2 linked regions of the Rhinolophus ferrumequinum genome follow. The protein of the gene in region 1 purifies or fractionates together with the protein of each later gene. This does not show direct contact. Links are inferred from orthologs where the notes say so. Each region holds a gene or a part of one and is shown in the gene's direction. Other genes may lie near its edges.

Region 1 (9,446 bases):
CCCAGGGCCCCTATCCCTGGCTTCACTTGGACAGAGGATGTAGAGACTGGAATGCTGGTTTGGGGTGCTTGGGGCAAAGCAAAGAGCCTGTGCCTCACTCTCCCTTGCCATGGAATTTCCTTCCCGCCTCTGCTCCTCACGTGTGTCTGCCTAGAAGGCTAAGGAATCAAAAGGGAGAAAGGCGTGTGCCCGCCTGACAGCCACCAGGCACACCAGCCTGCCAGGGCAAGCTGAGGACATGGAGTTGGAAGAAGAGGGAGGTTCTGAGCAGTGGAGCCCATGAGTGCCCAGTGACCTCTCGACAGAGACCCAGCCTCTGACCCTCCACTGTGGGAGCAAAGGAAAAAAAATGCTCCTGGCCCTGAGTGGCCCCAGAGGAATTCACGGACACTCTGGCAAGATTCAGAAACCCCATTGGAGATGCTGTTTCAACTGGTGTTAGAAGACTTGGGAGTTGCATGTGTCTGAGGCTTGGCCAAACTTACATCCATGGTTGATTATCGACACAGGAAAACCCCGAGATAAGCTCGTCGGCTTCGTTCCTGTACGTAACTCGAAGGACTTTCCCGTCAACAAGACCCAGGCCCGGCACAGGACTGACCTTCCCCTAGCATTCCGTCCTCAAATAGCCTTTGCAGCGGGGAGGCCAGAGCACACCACAGCAAGAGAAGCAGAAGAGGCTCCATCTCCATGCGGCCCCTGCGGGACCTTCGTCCAGGATGTGCGAGGCTCCGCGTGTTTCTCGGGTCCGCGTGTTTCTTGGAACTGTAGTGAATCGGGAACCCCATGGATGCAATGGGAAAGCTCCCCATTGCCCTACCCAGGGACTCAGGCCTGGGGAGCGCTGGACCCACAGAGGACCTCTGCACACGAAGCTGGGCACGCGGCTTGAAAGAGAAACAGACGCAAAGATGGACGATTTGTCCCCTCCCTTCACCCCTTCCAAGACAGTTTTGGTGTTGAAGAAGTAAAGGACAGTTACCTCATAGATAATTCAAAGCCACGAATTGGGCGGGGAGGAGGCCAGGATGGAGCAGAGCTCTAGAAGTCCAGTGGCGGGACCCCGTAAGTCCTCAGCTTGGGAGCGCTGCCCCAGCTCGGTGGGCCTTACCGTTTCCTTATCTGTAAAGCAGAGACAGGTCCACGGGTCTCTGCCGTGGAACCCGTGAGGCCAGATGTGCTCAGAGTAAGATGCAAATAAAACAGAGCATCCACCCCAGCGGTTGGGGGGCAGCACCCCTTCATTGGATACTTGCAGGTTCGGCCGTGGGGTAAACGAAGGCCGTTCAGAGCCTCGCAGTTTGCGTCACCTTGTTCTGTCAAATTCGTTGGTGCCCAATTTAGGGGAAAACGAAGTTGTCAGAGGATTATGAAACTAATTTCTCACACAGTTGATGAAGGGTTGACGGAGCAGGTACAAAGTGCTGGAATGTTCATCACAACTGTCATCATTGTAAGTATAGTCTTCTTCCCTCCCTTCTCCTGGGTTGAGCCCCCACGTCTCCCGAGAGATTAGAAAAGGGATTACTCATTTTCCTGGAGGCAGGGGGTGGTATTAAACGTGGCAACAAGAGCTGGGCTTTCCCAAGATGCTGGTGTGAAACAGAAGGCTCAGAGGCGTGGGGAGCTCAGAAGCACAGGAACTGAGGTCCGAGCACATTTTGGGCCGTAGCGTCACGGCCCACAGCTCAAGCCAACAAGGCCAGGCTCCCAAAGAATGCAAGTCAGCCTTCAATAAAGGAAATAAAATACCAAAACACAGCTGGCCATGGCCCTGATGCCCTTTGTCATCAACGTCATTTTCTGCTTTAAAATTTTGAGGAGGAAAGATGGGAAATTTGTCAAGCTAGGGGCGGTCTTACAGACGGCCTGGTTCTCCTCCAGGGTCGGCGGTAGCGCCCCCAAGCAACCAGGACAGAACCTTCTCAGTTCAGCAAGTATCTTCCTGTTGGACAGAGTCCTGACTGGAGCTGGGACAGGAGTCATGGCAAAAAAAAAAAAAAAAACCCAACAGCATTAACACATCAGAACCCAAAGCCAATAGCAGTGCCTGGGGGAGATTTCATCAGCCTTGTGACGGGTCAGAGGCCAGGGCCAACCAGCATGAGGAGGCCCCCACCCCCCAAGGACTCTGTCTTGGGCTTCCAGATGGCCACGCCCATCCTGGAATTCCCTGGGAGCTCATACCTACACAAAGGATGTCTGGGCCAAGGCCAAGATTCAAAGGCTTCCTGAATATTCCCAAGTGGCTCGTCTGCTCAGACAAGGGCAGCTCATGGGATGTAAAGCCCAGAGACCCATGCGAGAACATTCTCTGGGATAGAGGCCCAGAAGGCAGGACACTCTGTGTCCTCCCAAGTTGGCCAATTCCTTGCTTTCCCTGGGCATATCATTGCTACTCACCATGTCTGTTTTCTCATCGTTGCAGAAAACTATGTGACCTTGGTTGAAGTCTGTAAGACCCTTGGTTCCAGATCAGCACAGCCTGTCATTAGCAGCACTGTGATTTTTCCCACTGCGGCCCTAACATTCTGCCTCTCCCAGCTATTTTGGGCCGGGCTGCCCAGTTGTCCCACAACGGCAGAGGCCGATTGCAGACTTTTGAATTCCTATCTGAAGGGTAACCACAGGCAGGCTCAGATGGCAGGGTCTCACTGCCAAGGGGTGGGGGTGGGAGAGTCTCCGTGGAGATTCGGGGAAGGAGCTGAGATGGAAACTTGGCAGCCAGATCCAGCCTCCCTGGCCGCTGGCCCACGCTCGTTGCTCCTAGATGGCAGTGCCCGTGGTCGAGAAGACTCAGGGCAGGTGGGAATCAGGACTGGCAGCTACAAGGACAGAGCAGGCGGGTCTGCTGCCTCATGCTCCTCACACCTGCAGGAGACCCCTCTAAGGAGGACAAACCTTTCATGGAAGTCCCCTCTGCACTCTTGATGCAAAGACGGGCAGTCAGGGATTTAAAAAAAAAATACACGTGCAGTCTCACTTTGACCATTTCTGTGCTTTCTGACTCTAATGATGCCATGTCATGCCCCATGCCTCAGTTTCTCCATCTCTCATTTCCATCCCTATTTTGAGAATTCCTTTTGGGAACTTTCAGAGATTGGCATAGACAGACCGTAAGGCAATGTTTTAATAAAATGGGAGGGCCCCCTGGTGGACTGCATAATTCTAAGCACTCGACTTTGAAATGAATGAGTGAGTCCATTGAGTAACTCAACACATGAATGAATGACTAAAGTGAAGAATTTTTCGTTGTTCATGCACAGCCCAGAAACCAAAGGAGGAGAGAATTTCCTGCAGAAGGCCATGGTGAAGTCTCCAGTGATGCGAAGAAGACAAAGGGAATGAAAACTGAAGGAAAACCTAGTTGTAGATGTCCGTGGAGTCACTGACCATAAGGAGTGCAATTTCACGGCACAACCTCTGCGGAAGTCTGTCTACTCACTAGAGGATGCAAACACCCTTTGATATAGTAATATTTCTTCTGGGGATAATATTTATTCTGGGGATCCTACATATATCTTCATAGTTGTGCCCAAATAAGTAACATCGCTGTAATGTGAAAAGATCACAGATATCCCGAAAGAACATCACCGGGGCCTGGTAAAGTAGATGACATCCCATCCACACGGTGGAATGCCACACACCGCTCTGTGGAGAATGAAGCAGCTCTCTGTAAAATGCTATGGGACAAGCTATTCTGTGAAGTGAAAAATTACAAACCTTACTGAAAAACTTTTTTAAAAAGACCTACGTAAACGGAAAGGCAACCACGTTCTTGGGGAGAAGACTCAATATCATAAACATCTCAGTTCTCTCCCAATCAATCTACAGATTCGAAGCAATTCTATTTAACATCCTAAAAGGTAGGGGCATGTGGGCTGCTGTGGGGGTGGGGAGGGCAATAGTCCTGCACCCTATGAAGGCTTAGTATAAAGAGGTGATAATGAGGACAGTGGTATTGAGCTGATATGAAATATTATACCCATACAGTAACAGAAATTCCCAAACAGAGCCACATGTCCCTGGAGACTTGAGCTATGGCAAAACTGGCACTGCACATACATCAATGGGGAAAGGATGGATTCTTTTCTAAAAACAGCACTGAGATGTTGGGGCATGTGCAGCAGAAGAAAGATAGATATATAGATATATAGATATCAAAAAAATCTGAGAAAGATACACAACTTCTCAGTAATCAGGCAAGGAGAAGACATTTCATGCTATCAGATTGGTAAAATGAATGAATACACCTGATAGTACTTGTGGGCCAATGGGATTGCTCACCCATTGCAACAGGTCTATTTCATTTTTGTAAAATACATGCATATATATATATATATATATATATATATATATATAGTTTAGGGATACAAACCTATTTGCTAAAATTACAAAATAAAGCACAAGAATGATTACCACAACATTCAAGATTGTGTTTATCTCTTGGGGTGGGAGGAAGTTGGCAACAGGAAGGAGTACCTAGAGAGCTCTCTAGATAACAAGATTAGTGTTTTATTTTTAAGTTGGGAGCCATACCTGAAAGTAGATATCTTAGTAAAAAAAAGATGTGAATAATTTAAAATAATTATACCGTGTTTCCCCGAAAATAAGACCTAACCGGAAAATAAGCCCTAGCATGATTTTTCAGGATGACATCCCCTGAACATACGCCCTAATGCGTGTTTTGGAGCAAAAAGTAATATAAGAACCAGTCTCATTTTCGGGGAAACACTGTAGTATATGGTATATGGTTGGGATACAGTTTAATATGATGGAAAATATAAATGAATTCAGCAAAGGTTTTTTTTCTCCCCTCCCCCTCAAAAACGCAGAGCCTTATGTTTAGCACATTTCCATTAGGTTTAAAAGTAATTTAACATATGTGCTATGATTCGTTTGTGTGTCACAAAATATCTGTAAGAATGACCACAAGAAACTAGTACTAATGGTTACCTCTGGGGAGGGAACGCAGAGGGGGTATGGAGGGAGGGTTATCTTTCACTGCGCACCATTTATATAATTTGAAATTTCTCTTGTGCGTCTGTTGATGGAAGGCTGTTGAGAGACCAGGGATGTGTGCATGCAGAGACCGAAGGTGCAGACCGGGAGCACTGACGCACCCCCTCGCCATGCTCCTGTGTGACGCTCCACTACTATAGGGCTTTTTTTTTTCTTTTTTTCTTCCAGGATTTCTAAAATGAGCATCATTACAGGACTTAGGGGTGAGGGGCCGGGATGCCTTTTAACATAGTCCATTCAAATAGCTCAGGGGGCTGGAGAAACGGGATGAATTAGAGACCCATGTTTGGAAAGGGGTTCGTTGATTGCAAGTTAGGGGGGCCCAAGCCCAGGCCGCTCCTGCCTGTACACCTGTGTACTGACCTTTGCTTTGGAAACTGAGCTACATTCAGACGTAGGCGGTTAGAAGAGCCAAGGGAAGGGCTCTGAGAATGAGGGTGGCAGAAATGGTTCCGTGCCTCTACGCCCCGGGAGGACCACGAAGGTCCGGGGGACCAGGCAAGGGGTCTCACAATCTCAGCTCGAGGAATGATACCCCCCCTCCCCGTAGCCTTCACCTCCGCCCCCCTCCCCTTTCTGCTCGGCCGACGTTCCAGAATAACGCGGTGGAAGGGGCCTGCGGGTGGGGAGCGCGGACAGCCCTCCTCCCTCCGGTCCTTCCCCCGGCCCAGCTCGCTGAGCATCCAAAACTACAACTTCCAGTAGCTCCCTGCACGCGGCCGGCGCGCAGCCGCAGAGCAGAGGCTGCCGGGAGCGTGTTGCCCGGAGGCGGGACGAGCGCGCCGGGCGGAAGTCGGCCGCCCGCTCGGTCCCGGCCCTTCCCGCAGCGAGGCCCCGGCTTCCGCGGGACCCCGAAGCAGCCCGCCCCGGGTGAGTGAAGGCCGCGCCCGCAGCCGCCCGCGCTCCCCCTCGCGCCGGCCTCCCCAGCGCCTGCCGCCGCCCTCCGACCCCGCACGCTCCCTCCCTGTCTGACCTATTGGGGCCCCTTGACCCACAGGTCAGCGGTCCCCTCGGACGGGGGTGCCTCGGAGAAACTGTCCCCTCCTACCGACGGGGGGCGACACCTACCCCTCTGACTCGGAGACTCCTCCCCCGTCTGACTGGCGGAGTCTGACGGCGCGGACTAGCGCCCGCGCCGTGTTCGGTGCCGCCACTCGGACCTGGGCAGGGCCTCTCCTGATGGGCTCGGGAGCCCGCCCGCCCTGCCTGGCACCGGGTCACCCCTGCAGCGCGCCAGCCTTCCCCACCCCAAGCCAGGCCTTGCTCTCCCTGCCCCCAGCGCAGCTCCCTTTCCTCCCTTTTGCACTCAAACGGGCCACGCTCCCCTTTCCCTCTGCGCGCCTTGCGCTCCCCCATCTGGTCTGGATCCTTTTATCCCTGGGGATCACCGCCTCCTTGCCACCCTCGGTGCGTTTCCCGTGCCCTCTGTGTGCCTAGGTTTGGCAGGCGTTAACACCTGCCGGCAGTCTTCCGTGCGCCAGACCCCGCTTTCTCCCAAGCACCTGTGTCCCTCAGGAAACCCGTGTCTCTCAGCAGCACATCGGCCCCATGTCTCATTCCTGCTTCGGGGTATGTGCTTGACGGCTTTTCCTACCACGTTTCGGACAAAGCGCAAGTTTGGGAACACACATCTGCTGGTGTCACCTGAATCTTGCCGGCACTTGGGTGTAAGGGCCAAAACTTGACAAAAGCACAGTCGCAGGTAGGTCCATGGAAAGGAGGCAGGTGCTCAGCCTCCCGTTCCTCCCCCTTGAGGAGCTCGTTGAGTTAGGTCTTCCTGGGCTGGGCTGCAGAGCGTTGTCCAGCCCCCAGCCCCAGCCCACGGGCCTCAGCCGCAAACAATGCAGCCTGAGCCTGTGGGCTCAGTGGGGCCTCTTCCAGAGCCAGGGTGGCCTCCTGGTGGCCCTCCCTGCCGGCCTCAGTGACCTTCTGTTCAGCCCCGAGTGCCCTGCTGAGAGGCACGTTAACAGCCCAGCCTGCTCCCCTCTGGAAGTGCAGGGGTGTCCAGTCCTGTGCAGCCCAGATTTGGTCAGGCACTGTCACAAGGCCACCACCAGTGGGCTGGGACACAGGATTCTGGGTCTTACTCTTTCGTGTCCAAATGAACCTGATCACAAAGGTGATGCTGCCTCGCCCGGTGGTGGAGGAAATCACATATTTCCAAGGGTGTGGGTACCAGTGTGTCACCATGTGATCCCTCAGCTGTAAAAATCTGATCCTTTGATACCTTCCATTAGCTAAACGTCTCCTTTGTTCCCCCAAATGTAGTTCACGCCATATTTTCATAGCCCACAGCAACGTAGTGAAGGCGTTGGTTTAGGCTGCTGGTGCTTGAGGAAATTTCTACCCGCCAGTCCAACTGCACCTAATCTGCATGTCTTCCAAGCCCCAGAGGAGTGAGGAGACACCAGGGTGCCGGGTGGGGGGCAGGTCTCGCTCGGGGTGTGTTCATCCCCACCCCCTGAAGGGGGCCTTTGAGGTGAGCGCTTGTGGGCTCCCACAAATACACATGGCCCCTTTCATCTGAGTCTCAGGACTTTCTTGGCAGCACTGTGGCAGTCGTCATGGCAACTGTATAGGGTAGGTGTATAAATGCTCTAGTGTTTTCTCTTTCAAAAACAGAATATCTCCGATCGGGGAATATGGTTCAGAGTCCTGAACTGGATCGGTATTATGACAAGGAAGACGTTTCCCTGTTGTACAGACATTTGTGGCGTGGTACCCAGGATACTGAAAAAAAAAAATTATTTTCCTTTCAGTGACACTCTGGACTATGGAGATTTCTGGAAAGTTCTTATTAATTGCCAACGTTAAGGGAATTTAAAATTTTTTCTATTAATTGTTTAGCACTTTTATGTTGATTTTCCTTTTCATCAGACCAAGACAAAGTCCTGATATTAGCAAAACCTGTTTGGGAAAATGTTCGTTTTTCTGTTTTTGTCTGCATTTCTTTTGAATCCCACTCATTTATCTGTAGTAGCGCTGCCATTAAATGGAAGTCACAGTTCCGGTTCCCAAGCAGAGTGCCCTGCCATCCCTGCCCAGCCAGGGACCATGCCGTGGGAAGTGAGGCGGGGCCATGTGCACGTGGGGCCTGACCAGGTACAGTGAGGGCGCATGACAGTGTGGGCGTGAGCGTGAGGTTGGAGCCGTCTAGAATGGCTCGCTGGCCACTGTGCCTGGTAGCCCCGCGCTGAGGCACGCGGGAGAGCAGGTGGGTTCAGGCAGGTGCGTCCACTGTCTGTGGGAGCAGCCCTGACTTGGGCCGATCGTGGGATTATCACATCCCCTTGTTCCGGGCTCTCCAAAAAACAAGCCGAAGATGCGTAGTTTTGTTTGGGATGAGGGCACTTTCAACTGGGAGGGCAGCTGTTTTCCAAAAGTCCTAGATGACGGCACAAACTATGCACGCACAGCGGCTGTGGTGTAAGGATGAAGTGCAGACTCAGGCTGTGCCCCCCGCCCCGAGGCAGAGCTGTGTGAATGGTCCCGGCCCCCGGGAAAAGCTGTAGGTTCTTCCCGGCCCCTGTGGCCGGCAGAGTAATGCCCATCCGCACCCGCAGAGGTCCACGCCCTGACCCCCGGGACCTGCGAATGTGTTATGTGGCAAAGGGGGGCTAAGGGAGCACGTGGAATTCCAGGTACTTATCATCTGACCTTAAAAATGGGGGCTCGTCCTGGATTGGCCAGGTGGGCCCAGTGTGACCACAGGGCCCTACCAGTGGAAGGGGGGCCGGAGAGTGTCAGAGGGGATGATGGCGGAAAGGCCCAGGGAGATGCAACAGTGCTGGCTTTGAAGGTGGAGGAAGGGGCCACAAGTCGGGCTGAGGGCAGCCGCTAGCAACTGGAAACGGCCAGGAGACGGGTCCTCCCCTCGAGCCTCTGAAAGGACCAGCCCTTTATTTTGGCCCAGTGTGACCCATGTCGGACTTCCGTCCTGCATCTGTAAAGTAAGTGTGTGGTGTTCAAGCTGTGCAGCCTGCACTGCTGTTACAGCAGCAGGAGACAACTGACACACTCCGCTTGGGCGGCTGACTTACAAACAGAAACAAAGGACAGAAAAAGAAGTCACCCGAACTGTATTTAACTTGACTCGGTGAGCAGTCGTGATTGCCTGTCACGGAAGGGGCTGAGTAAGGGACAGGCGGGCGAAGGGAGGATCCAGAGAGCTGGGTTTAGACGCTGTCAGCGCTGGTGCTGGAGGCCCTTGGTGTCTGTCTTGCCTGTAAGGAGTCTGAAGGTCAGCGCGTGTCACTCTACTTTCCAACCAGAAAGTGCACTTTGCCGGTGGGCAGACTAGGGACTCCTGCCTGCAGTCTGATGGCTCTTTAGGACCGTTCAGAGACCGTGGTGGAGAAGGAGAGGCAGCCACTCTGCAGACCCCAGGGCCTGGGGAGGACAGTGGCTGCCCCGTCCCTGAGGCA
Region 2 (9,460 bases), on another chromosome or scaffold:
GTGTCCACTCAGCCCCGAGTGTGAGATCGAGTCTCCTGAGCGCCTGACCACCGCCCTGGAACGCCTGCAGCAGCGCGGCCTGGAGCAGAGGTGCCTGCGCTTGGCTGCCCGAGAGGCCTCAGAGGCAGAGCTGGGCCTGGTGCACAGGTCAGACCCTGGCAGGCCACATACCCTGGAGGACACAGGTCGCAGCCGAGGATCTGGGCCTCCCTGGGCCTGCCAGCACTGCACAAACAGTGCCTCTCCCCCATGTGCCTCAGTTTCATCATCGGGTGGGTGGGGGAGGGAGCAATGAGGTGGGCAGTCCCACCTAGGGTTTGCCCCTCTTTTCCTCTTCTCTCCATTCATGTTAGTGACCCTGCCTTCCCTGCCTGCTCCTCTGCAGCCCAGAGTACGTGGCCCTGTTGCGGGGGACCCAGGCCTTGGGCACGAGGGAGCTCCAGGCACTGTCTAGACAGTATGATGCCATCTACTTCCATCCGGTGCGTGCCCTGGGGACACACCCACCCACCCAGACACACATGCTTGTTCACGCCCATGGCCGCCAGACCTGGCCAAAGTCCCCAAGTTCATGGACATGCCAACACCCTGCACACCTGCTGGCTGCCGCTGCTTGCACCTGGGACGATCCTGGCCCATTCCATTCAGCGCTTCGTGCCCTGCAGCCTGGCACAGGGCTGGGCAGAGTCTGAGGTGTAGTGGTGGGGGGGCTCATCTTCACCCCTCCCCCCACAGAGTACCTTCCACTGTGCCCGGCTGGCTGCAGGGGCCGGGCTGCAGCTGGTGGATGCAGTACTGACAGGAGCTGTGCATAACGGGTTTGCCTTGGTGAGGTGAGAGCTGTCCCCCTACCATAGCTGCTTCCCATGTGGGCACAGGGTGACCGTGCCATGCCCCATGCCCCGCTCTCACCTGCAGGCCTCCTGGGCACCACAGCCAGAGGGCTGCCGCCAATGGATTCTGTGTGTTCAATAATGTGGCCTTAGCGGCCAAACATGCCCAGGAGAAGCATGGGCTGCACAGGTGTGTGCTGGGCCAGCTGCAGGGGGCGGGGCCAGATGGAAGGGCTGCTGCTGAGACCCCACCCAGCCCCTTGCATCCTGGACTAGGCTCTGGCATGGAGGCGGGAGGCCACTGCCCTTGTGACCTCCGTGCTCTCTGTCCCCAGGATCCTCATCGTTGACTGGGATGTCCACCATGGCCAGGGCATCCAGTATACCTTTGAGGACGACCCCAGGTGACCTGGGGGCGGGGACCCCACTCTTCCGGGGCACGTAGCCTGGCCTGGGAAAATCCAAGTGGGAAGACATGGTGGTTTGCTCCAGGGTCAGGGTTCTGAGAGGAGCCATGGGGCTGAGGGTCCTGACCGCTGACCTCTGACCATGGCCGGTTATCCCTAGCATCCTTTACTTCTCCTGGCACCGCTATGAGCATGGGCGCTTCTGGCCCTACCTGCGAGAGTCCAATGCAGACACTGTCGGGCAGGGACAGGGCCGAGGCTTCACTGTCAACTTGCCCTGGAACCAGGTGCCACCTTTCACCACCCACCCTACTCCCCAGATCCCCCACCCAGCCCACATCCCCCACCCCACAGCTCCAAGCCTCCTGAGTGTAGTCCAGGGCATCCTGCCAGGGTCACCCCCAGAGCCCGGGCTCCAGGAGTGAAGGCCCCACAGCCCCCCTGACGGGGCCCACCGCTGACGCCCGTGGCTGCAGGTCGGGATGGGAAATGCTGACTACGTGGCTGCCTTCCTGCATGTGCTTCTCCCTGTGGCCTTTGAGGTGACCGTGTGGGGGACAGGGGCAGGAGGGTGGGAGGGGGACTCAATGCCCAGAGTTCCCCCCCACTCCACTGGAGCAGAGCTGAGCCCTGGGGTGGGGACGGTCTCTCTGGAAGGGCCTCCCCTTCACCCCACCCCACCTGGCCCTGCCCACAGTTTGACCCTGAGCTGGTGCTAGTCGCGGCAGGATTTGACTCAGCGATCGGGGACCCCGAGGTGAGGGCCCGGCCTGGCTGGGAGGGCTTCTCTGCTGGGGTCCTGCAGCCAGGCCCCGTCATACCTGCTCTGGTTCCAGGGGCAGATGCAGGCCACGCCAGAGTGCTTCGCCCACCTCACACAGCTGCTGCAGGTGCTGGCTGGTGGCCGGGTCTGCGCTGTGCTGGAGGTGACTATAGTGAGCAGGGAGGGCCCACGGGCCAGAGGCTGAGGTGCTGCCTGAGGGGCCTGCCCCCCAATAATACCCCTGCCCCAGTCACACCTCTGCCCTCCTCCCTCCTCCCAGGGTGGCTACCACCTGGAGTCGCTCTCCCAGTCAGTGTGCATGATGGTGCAGGCCCTGCTGGGTGACCCTGCCCCACCCCTGTCGGGGCCCATGGTGCCACATCACAGGTGCGAGGGGCAGAAGGGTGGGAAGGGCTGTGGCTGCCAGGCCAGGCCTCACCATTCCTGGTTCTCCCCATAGCGCCTTGGAGTCCATCCAGAGTGTCCGGGCAGCACAGGCCCCTCACTGGACAAGCCTCCAGCAGGAAGGTCAGTGTGGCGTGGGCTGGGTGGGGGGGTTGCACCTTGGGCTCCTACACAGTGGCTGAGACTCTGAACCACTCCTAGGCCCGGTCCCCGTCCCAAGTCCCAGTAACTACTCCCCAGAGGGGAGACCCTCGACTCTGCTGCCTGGGGGTTCTGAATTCAAGACTGCAGCAGCCCAGGCCGCGGCAGCACTGAGCTCCCTCCTAGACCAGCTGTGCCTCCAGCCTACACCTCCTGTCCGCACGGCTGTTGCCCTGACTTCGCTGGGCGCTGGCCTGGTCCTGCCCCCTGATGTCCTCTGTGAGGAGGGGTCAGCCCCGCAGGAGGAGATGCAGGCCTGGGCCAGGTGGGCAGAATGGGCTGGGGAATGGGATGGGGCTGTGTCCACCACGTACCCTTGTGTGACTCACCTGTGGTCTGTGTCACCCCGTGGCGATGTGTTCCTCTGGTTTGCCTGCCACAGGCTACATGAGGCCTTGGCCAAAGACGAGGCCCTCACTGCACTTGGGAAGGTCCTATACCTCTTGGATGGGATCCTGGACGGGCAGGTAGGGGCACCTGGAAAGGGCTGGGGTGACTGTGGAGCTGGGGGCAGGGCCCAGGGCCCAGGACCTGCCCAGGACCAGTGGCCTGTCCAGGGGAATGCTGAGAGGTACAGAACCCGTGGACATGAGTGTCACCTTGTGCCCAAGACCTTTCCCACAACAGCCCCAGGGACAGGGTCATGAGCACCCCATCAGGCCCCTCAACTAAATGCTCTTTGGCAGAGAGGGGCAAACTGTGAGCATCTTATTTTCAGAAGTGGAACAATTAGACCTCAGAGTTTACGGATGACAGTCACTGAGGCAGGGACCAAAAGAAGGGACTGATGGGTGTTTCCCTGGTTTGGGGGGTGCTCTCCACTGCTCTTACACTCCTCAGGTGAGCAGCGGCATCACAGACACCCCAGCCCCTGCTGCAGCTGCCACCCTGGATGTGGCCATTCGGCGCGGACTGTCCCAGGGAGCCCAGAGGTAAGCGTAGGCTGGCCGGCCTGAGCCTCCGAGGGCATGGCCCATGGGCACCCCCGCCCTGGCTGGCCACGTAGGGAGGGCTCTGAGAATGGACTCCGGTGTGTGGGGGGGTGCATCAGCCTGTCCTGGGGCCGACTCTTCCTCTAGGCTGCTGTGTGTGGCCGTGGGACAGCTGGACCGGCCCTCAGACCTTGCTGATGATGGGTATGACTCTTGGGTCACGTGTACGTCTTGTTCTGCATGGGGGGGGGCACATTGCTCTGGGTTCCCAGAGGTGATGGGTGGGTGGGCTGACGGGTCGTTGGGAGCAGTGCCAGGAGGGTCTCTGGCAGAGTCAGCACTCCCAGAACCCCTACCCCTGAGCTCCCCTCTATCGTGGGCTCTGGAGGGTGAGTGGACACATGTCCATGTGCTCACTCTCCCCCGGAAGGAGGAATCTGTGGCTGAACATCAGGGGCAAGGAGGCAGCTGCCCTGTCCACGTTCCACGTGTCAGTGCCACTGCCAGCGGTGAGTGATGGTGTCCCAGGGCTGGGCAGTGGCTGCTCACTGGCACCATCATGAGGGCCAGGCCCCTGGCCTTCACCTGCCCTCTTGGCCTCCTGAGGGGACTGGTGGTGTGGCTGCCCACCCAAGACTGGCAGGAGGGGTGTCCCCTGGGTGAGGGGCTGGGCTATGCTTCTGTCCCTCCCACAGACAACTGGTGGATTCCTGAACTGTGTCCTGGCCTTGGTGCTGCCCCTGGCCTATGGCTTCCAGCCTGACCTGGTGCTGCTGGCACTGGGGCCGGCTCATGGCCTGCAGGACGCCCAAGCTGCACTCCTGGCCGCACTGCTGAGGGTGCCAGCAGGGGGCCGAGTCTTGGCCCTCGTGGATGCGGTGAGTTAGGCAGGGTGGACGTGCTGTGCGGTGGGAGGTGGGGAGAGACCAGTGATTCACTTTCATCTCTGCCCTGGCCCAGGAGTCCACACCACGGCTCGCGGGAGTGCTGGCCCGGGTGCTGTGTGGGGAGGCGCCCCCCAGCCTCGGTCCCTTCTCTGTGGCCTCCCCAGAGGACACGCAGGCCCTGAAGTACCTGAGAGGGCAGCTGCAGCCACATTGGAAGATGCTGCAGGTGGCCGGTGAGACTGGGGGACAAGACTCAGGTTCAATGCTTGTGGCTGTGGGGGGACAGTTCTGCCTTAGAGCTCCGGGGCGGGAGGGGCGCAGGTCTTGGGGCGTGGGGTGCTGCCCTGCACCAGCTCAGAGCAGAGCCAAGCTGACTGTGTGCCTCTTCCCAGCTCCCGTTTGAGTGCTGTGACCTGGTTGCTGGAAATCAGCTAGGTGGGAGGACTTACACCCCGGAAATGACACTACCAACCAGTCCCCCAAGAGCCGGTTGTTAAACATTCACCCGAACACCACTGCCAGAGGCCTCTGTCCTGATGTCCAGGCCACGGGCCGCCCAGCGCACTGGCGCAGGGGCAGTGTCCACTGCAGGGACCTGAAGCCCCACTGCACACTCGCCTCTGCACGGAAGGCCCCGCCCAACCCCCCTCCACTCCATTCAGTAAAGGGTTAAGCGAAAGTCTGACTCCGCCTCCGTCACTGAGCCCGCGGCGTCGGACCTCAGTTCCCCCACCTGTGGGAACGCGGCTTCAAACCGGAAGCCGAAAGTGCTCTGGGGTGGCGGCCTCCAGGCCCCGCCCCCTGCTCGCCCTGGCCCCGCCCCCTCTGTACGGGCCGCCGGCCTCCCCGGTGACGCAATTCCGGCGCGCCAGCTCCAGCGGTTTTGCGGGTCGCGTGGCAGTGACGCCACGGCGGCGGGCGCTGATGCGGCGCGCTCTTTTTGGACCAGGCCTGGTGAGCCGGCGGCTGAGCGGGCCTGACCCCACGCCCCCTGCCGGGCACCCCGCTCCCTCCTCGGGCGGCCCCGAGAAAACGTGCAAAGCCGGGTCCGTGCACTGCCTACTGCCCGCGCGCGTCTCCTTGGGTTTGTCACGGTTCTGTGACCCCTAAAGGTTGAGGGCTACGGAATTGGAGAGGTGCCAAGCTGGCGCTCTGCAGGCTGTGGCGGGCCGCGGGGTGCAGGCGGCCATGGGCCGGGCCGGGGAGGGCAGAACCACCGCAAGACCGCCGTTAAAATACAAGTCCTGAGCCTCCAGACGCTGGTTAAGGAGGCCGCCTGCCAGTCAGCCCTGTGCGATCCGCTCCTTGGCTTTCAGAGGGCGACGTGCAGCCCGGGTGAGACGCTTTCCCACGCGCTGAGGGCCCGGAGCTGAGACGGGGTGGGCATGGCCAGCATCACCCAGCTGTTCGACGACCTGTGCGAGGCCCTTCTGCCCGCTGCAAAGGCTCACCTGGGCCAGCGCAGCGTGAGCCGAAAGGAGGCCAAGCAGAGCCTCAAGAGGGTGGCCTACAACGCTCTTTTCACGAAACTTTTTCGAGATGAGACTCATAAGCTGCAGCCTGACCTCTGGAAAGTCCCAGTGAAAAACAAGATGCTCATGCTGTCCTTTGACTTAAGAGTCGGTGGCCTGGGCCCCGAGGCTGATCGTTTGGAGGAGCTGGTAGAGAAACTCGAAGCCGCCCCCTGCTGTCCGCTTGGGGAGGTGCGGTCTGTTTTGGACCTCCTGGTCCAGCTGGCAGGGAGTGGGCCCCCTCAAGTGCTGCCACCCAAACGGGACTACTTCTTCAACAACAAGCACGTTGGGAGAAACGTGCCTTACAGCGGCTACGACTGCTATGATCTGAGTGTGTTTGAGATGGACGTTCAGTCTCTGATCTCCAGAGAGGAGTATTTATGTCAGGACACGATCCAGAAAGCGCTTCAGGTGATGGAGGCGACGCCGGGCACCGGTCTGCCCTCTGTCGGGCTCTTCTCGTACGGTGACCCTTGCGGTGACAGGTTTGAGAGAGACACCCGGGCCTCGTTCTTCGGAGCCCTGGTGCACAGCCGCACGTACGACATGGATGTCAGACTGGACTTGCCCCTGGTGCCAGGCAGCGTGGACCTGTCTGGACTGTGTATTAAGGTACAGTCCACCTCTCCTGCCTGCAGCTGTGGAGGCGTTTGGAAAGCCTCCTTTGATCTTCCTTCTGTCACGGTAAAGGTAGGGTAGCGCTGGAGTCCAGGTCACTTGGTGGCTGAGCTGTGCTGATGCTGAGGTGGGGCAGCCCGAGTGGGCTTCCTGGCACCCACCTTCCTGGGCGAGGATGCTGCTGCCCACCAGTAAGGCAAACCAACGTGCTGCTTTTCTCTTGTATTTGACAGGACATGTTGTCAAATCACTTCCTCTGCCCTCTAAATTGCCCTCTAAACTTAATTAAAATGAGACATTTAGTTCCTCAGTTGCACAGGCCACGTTTCAAGTGTGCAGTAGCCACATGTGGCAGAAAATATTTGTTTAGACTCTGCATGCAGTTTTATATACTTCTCCGCCTGTAATGTGCGGTTTTCCTACATCGTCAGGTGCATCACTGGACTTTGGATGTGGTGGTTTTATACGTACTGATGAAAGGATGTGCTGTCACCAGTCACTTCCTTCTGGGGTGTTAAGGTTATTCCCAGACAAAGGTGATGCTCTAGTGAACATCTTGGTCTATGTAAATTTTTCTGTCTCTGGTATGATTTTTATGCTGCATCCCCCAAATGGAATTTCCAGATTGGAGGCATTTCATGAAAAATTTCATTGTAAGTTCTATGGAGGCTTATGCATTGTGTGAAATTGGAATTGATACATTAGTAAATTAATTTGTTTAATTACTTTTAGTGGTTTAATGGAGGAAAAAACACTATGTAGTACACACGTGCTCCAGAAAAATAGAAACATTCTGCTAGGTCTTTCCCATATGAGTAAGTGAAAATGTGTGGGGAATCCTGGAATTCTGATCGCACTTGGGTGAAGGTAGACCCAAAGATGTGTGTGGCATTTCCTTCTTTCCTCTGGTCTCCAGGTTCCTCAGAGTGTGGATCAATCGGAAGATGAAGGGTTCCAGTCAGCATCCAACTTGACTCCTGATTCCCAGTCTGAACCAGGCATGACCCCCGACATGGACCTGTGGGAGGCCGTGCTCACCTATGAGGCCAGCAAGCGGAGGTGCTGGGAGCAAGTTGGCTGGTACGTGAGCGTTTGCCCTTAAATCACTTCTCTCCTCCCCGCTGTGAATGTGGCTTTCCTGAGAGCCCAGGGAGTTGCTTGTAGAAGCAGCTGTGATGGGTTTAGGAGCCTGGAAGCTTGGTCACGCTAGTGCACAGAGTCGTCTTTGTTCTGGGAGTTGAGAGGAAGGTCTGGGAGAAAGGACTCCCCGGCTTCACTGAGGTTCCCAATGTGCCACAACTTCCACAAATCACACTTTCCAGTTAGAGCAGTCAGGTGACAACTGAGTTAACACGTTACCAGGAGGGCGGTCTGGCAGGCGGTGTGGTCAGTCCCAGACAAGGGATGCTGCCAGAGGCGTTTTCTTCATGCCCACTGTTCCTCTCATCTAGAAGGGCTGGGAGCTCTGGCTGGTGAGCGCGTCAGCAGGGTTTCCCTGACTGCTGCCTGAAGCTCGCTCCTGGGGCTCATCCGGGGCCAGAGGCCTGTCCACTCAGGACCTCTCAGAGTCTGTACAGTGCTTCTGTCTCTTGAAACTTCCAGAATGGGAATAGAGGACACAGATTTTCAACGTTTGGTCATGGCACCCTCTTGTCACATGTCATCTGTGGGTAGGTCCGTGACATACCAGCGTAGGGAACACTGAATAAAAGAACTGTGGTTAGCAGGGAGCTGAGTGCCTCCTGATGCAGCCATGGGCTCCCGCAGGGTCTCCCGCACCTGAGCACCTGCTCAGGGGCAGACATTTCATAGGTGTGTGTGTGCACTGGTCCTGCTGGGGTAGCTTTCCTGGCATGGTCACCCTCCCCACGTGCACTCCTCCCCACACAGCAGCTCCGTAAGCTCTGTCGGTGTGGGCAGCTGTCTTGTCTCCGAGCGCTGTCTGTGCCATGTAACCCTGTGAGGCCTCAGTCCTGTCTTCTGTGTACAAAGCCAGTCTAACCATCTGGCTTTCTGTTGAGCCCTCACATGTCTAAAAAGTGGCCCAACAAGTTACCCCTTTCTCTTAGCATCTTCACTGACCAATCAGAGCGGCTCCATTTGATCAGTCAGGACAGTGTTTTTTACACAAATCAAACAGGGTTTGGAGTCTCATTTGCATGAGGACGGAGCAGTCAGACCGCGGCAGGGACTTCTGTCTATATGAGTCACTCCCCCTGGCTGGGAGAGCACACTTTCCCTTTCTGCCAAAGACAGAGTACGTTATAAACCCGGCCAGCGTGGGGGCAGGCAGGACAGTGGAGCAGAGCTGAGCTGTCTGGTGGGCTGGAGTGGAGAAGCAACACGGGGCTGGGCCGCTGTCTCTCAGTGGCTCACAGCCCAGCTGTTTAACCATTGAACTGTTAAGTCTCTTCCCACCCGCACCCCAAGTTGGGGACTCCTGTTGGCATTGAGCTGTCAGCGACGACCTTTAGCTGACACTACTTTTCTAAGCTTAGTTTCTCAGGCCACTGTTCAGAAGACATGACCGCTCCCCAATCTCTCTTCAGCTCTGTTCTCAAGGCACTTAATGTCCTCAGTGTCCCCACGGTGGGTGTTTCCTGTGAGGACTGTAGCTGGCAGCATAAGCGTAGGCGGCCTCTGCAGGCCGACCCCCAGGGCTCCTCCTCTGTCTGATCTGGTCTCAGCCGCATCCACTGCCCCTGCCCTCTGAGGCTCAAGCTCACTTGGTGAAGTTTTTGAACTGGGTCAGTTTCAATCCCAGCCTCCTGCTAGGTTCCTGCCGTGAGCGCTGGCCGGTGGGCAGGTAAGGAAGCTGCTTTCCTGCCAGAAGCAGAGCTCTGTGGGTCCACACCCAGGATGGCGGTCCTCCCTTGCTCAGACCTCTGGAGGACCCCTCC

Evidence for each region.
Region 2: the proteins of galectin-3-binding protein (region 1) and TUBGCP6 purify together in Homo sapiens (co-immunoprecipitation; 4 studies listed by BioGRID and IntAct, counting the BioPlex papers as one, with this or other methods). This does not show direct contact. The link is inferred for Rhinolophus ferrumequinum from reciprocal best matches to the Homo sapiens genes LGALS3BP and TUBGCP6.

The regions. Positions count from the first base shown.
Region 1 is NC_046304.1:52,740,347-52,749,792, reverse strand, and holds the start of galectin-3-binding protein, read left to right. Parts: upstream 1-5,776; 5' UTR 5,777-5,892; intron 5,893-6,600; exon of another isoform or gene 6,601-6,724; intron 6,725-9,446.
Region 2 is NC_046293.1:454,771-464,230, forward strand, and holds the start of TUBGCP6 (gamma-tubulin complex component 6), read left to right. Parts: upstream 1-5,292; 5' UTR 5,293-5,813; coding exon 5,814-6,632; intron 6,633-7,476; coding exon 7,477-7,640; intron 7,641-9,460. Other genes in the region: polyamine deacetylase HDAC10, read left to right, coding at 13-147, 386-482, 736-833, 919-1,023, 1,169-1,237, 1,401-1,527, 1,717-1,782, 1,938-1,997 and 11 more. UniProt on the Homo sapiens protein: Component of the gamma-tubulin ring complex (gTuRC) which mediates microtubule nucleation.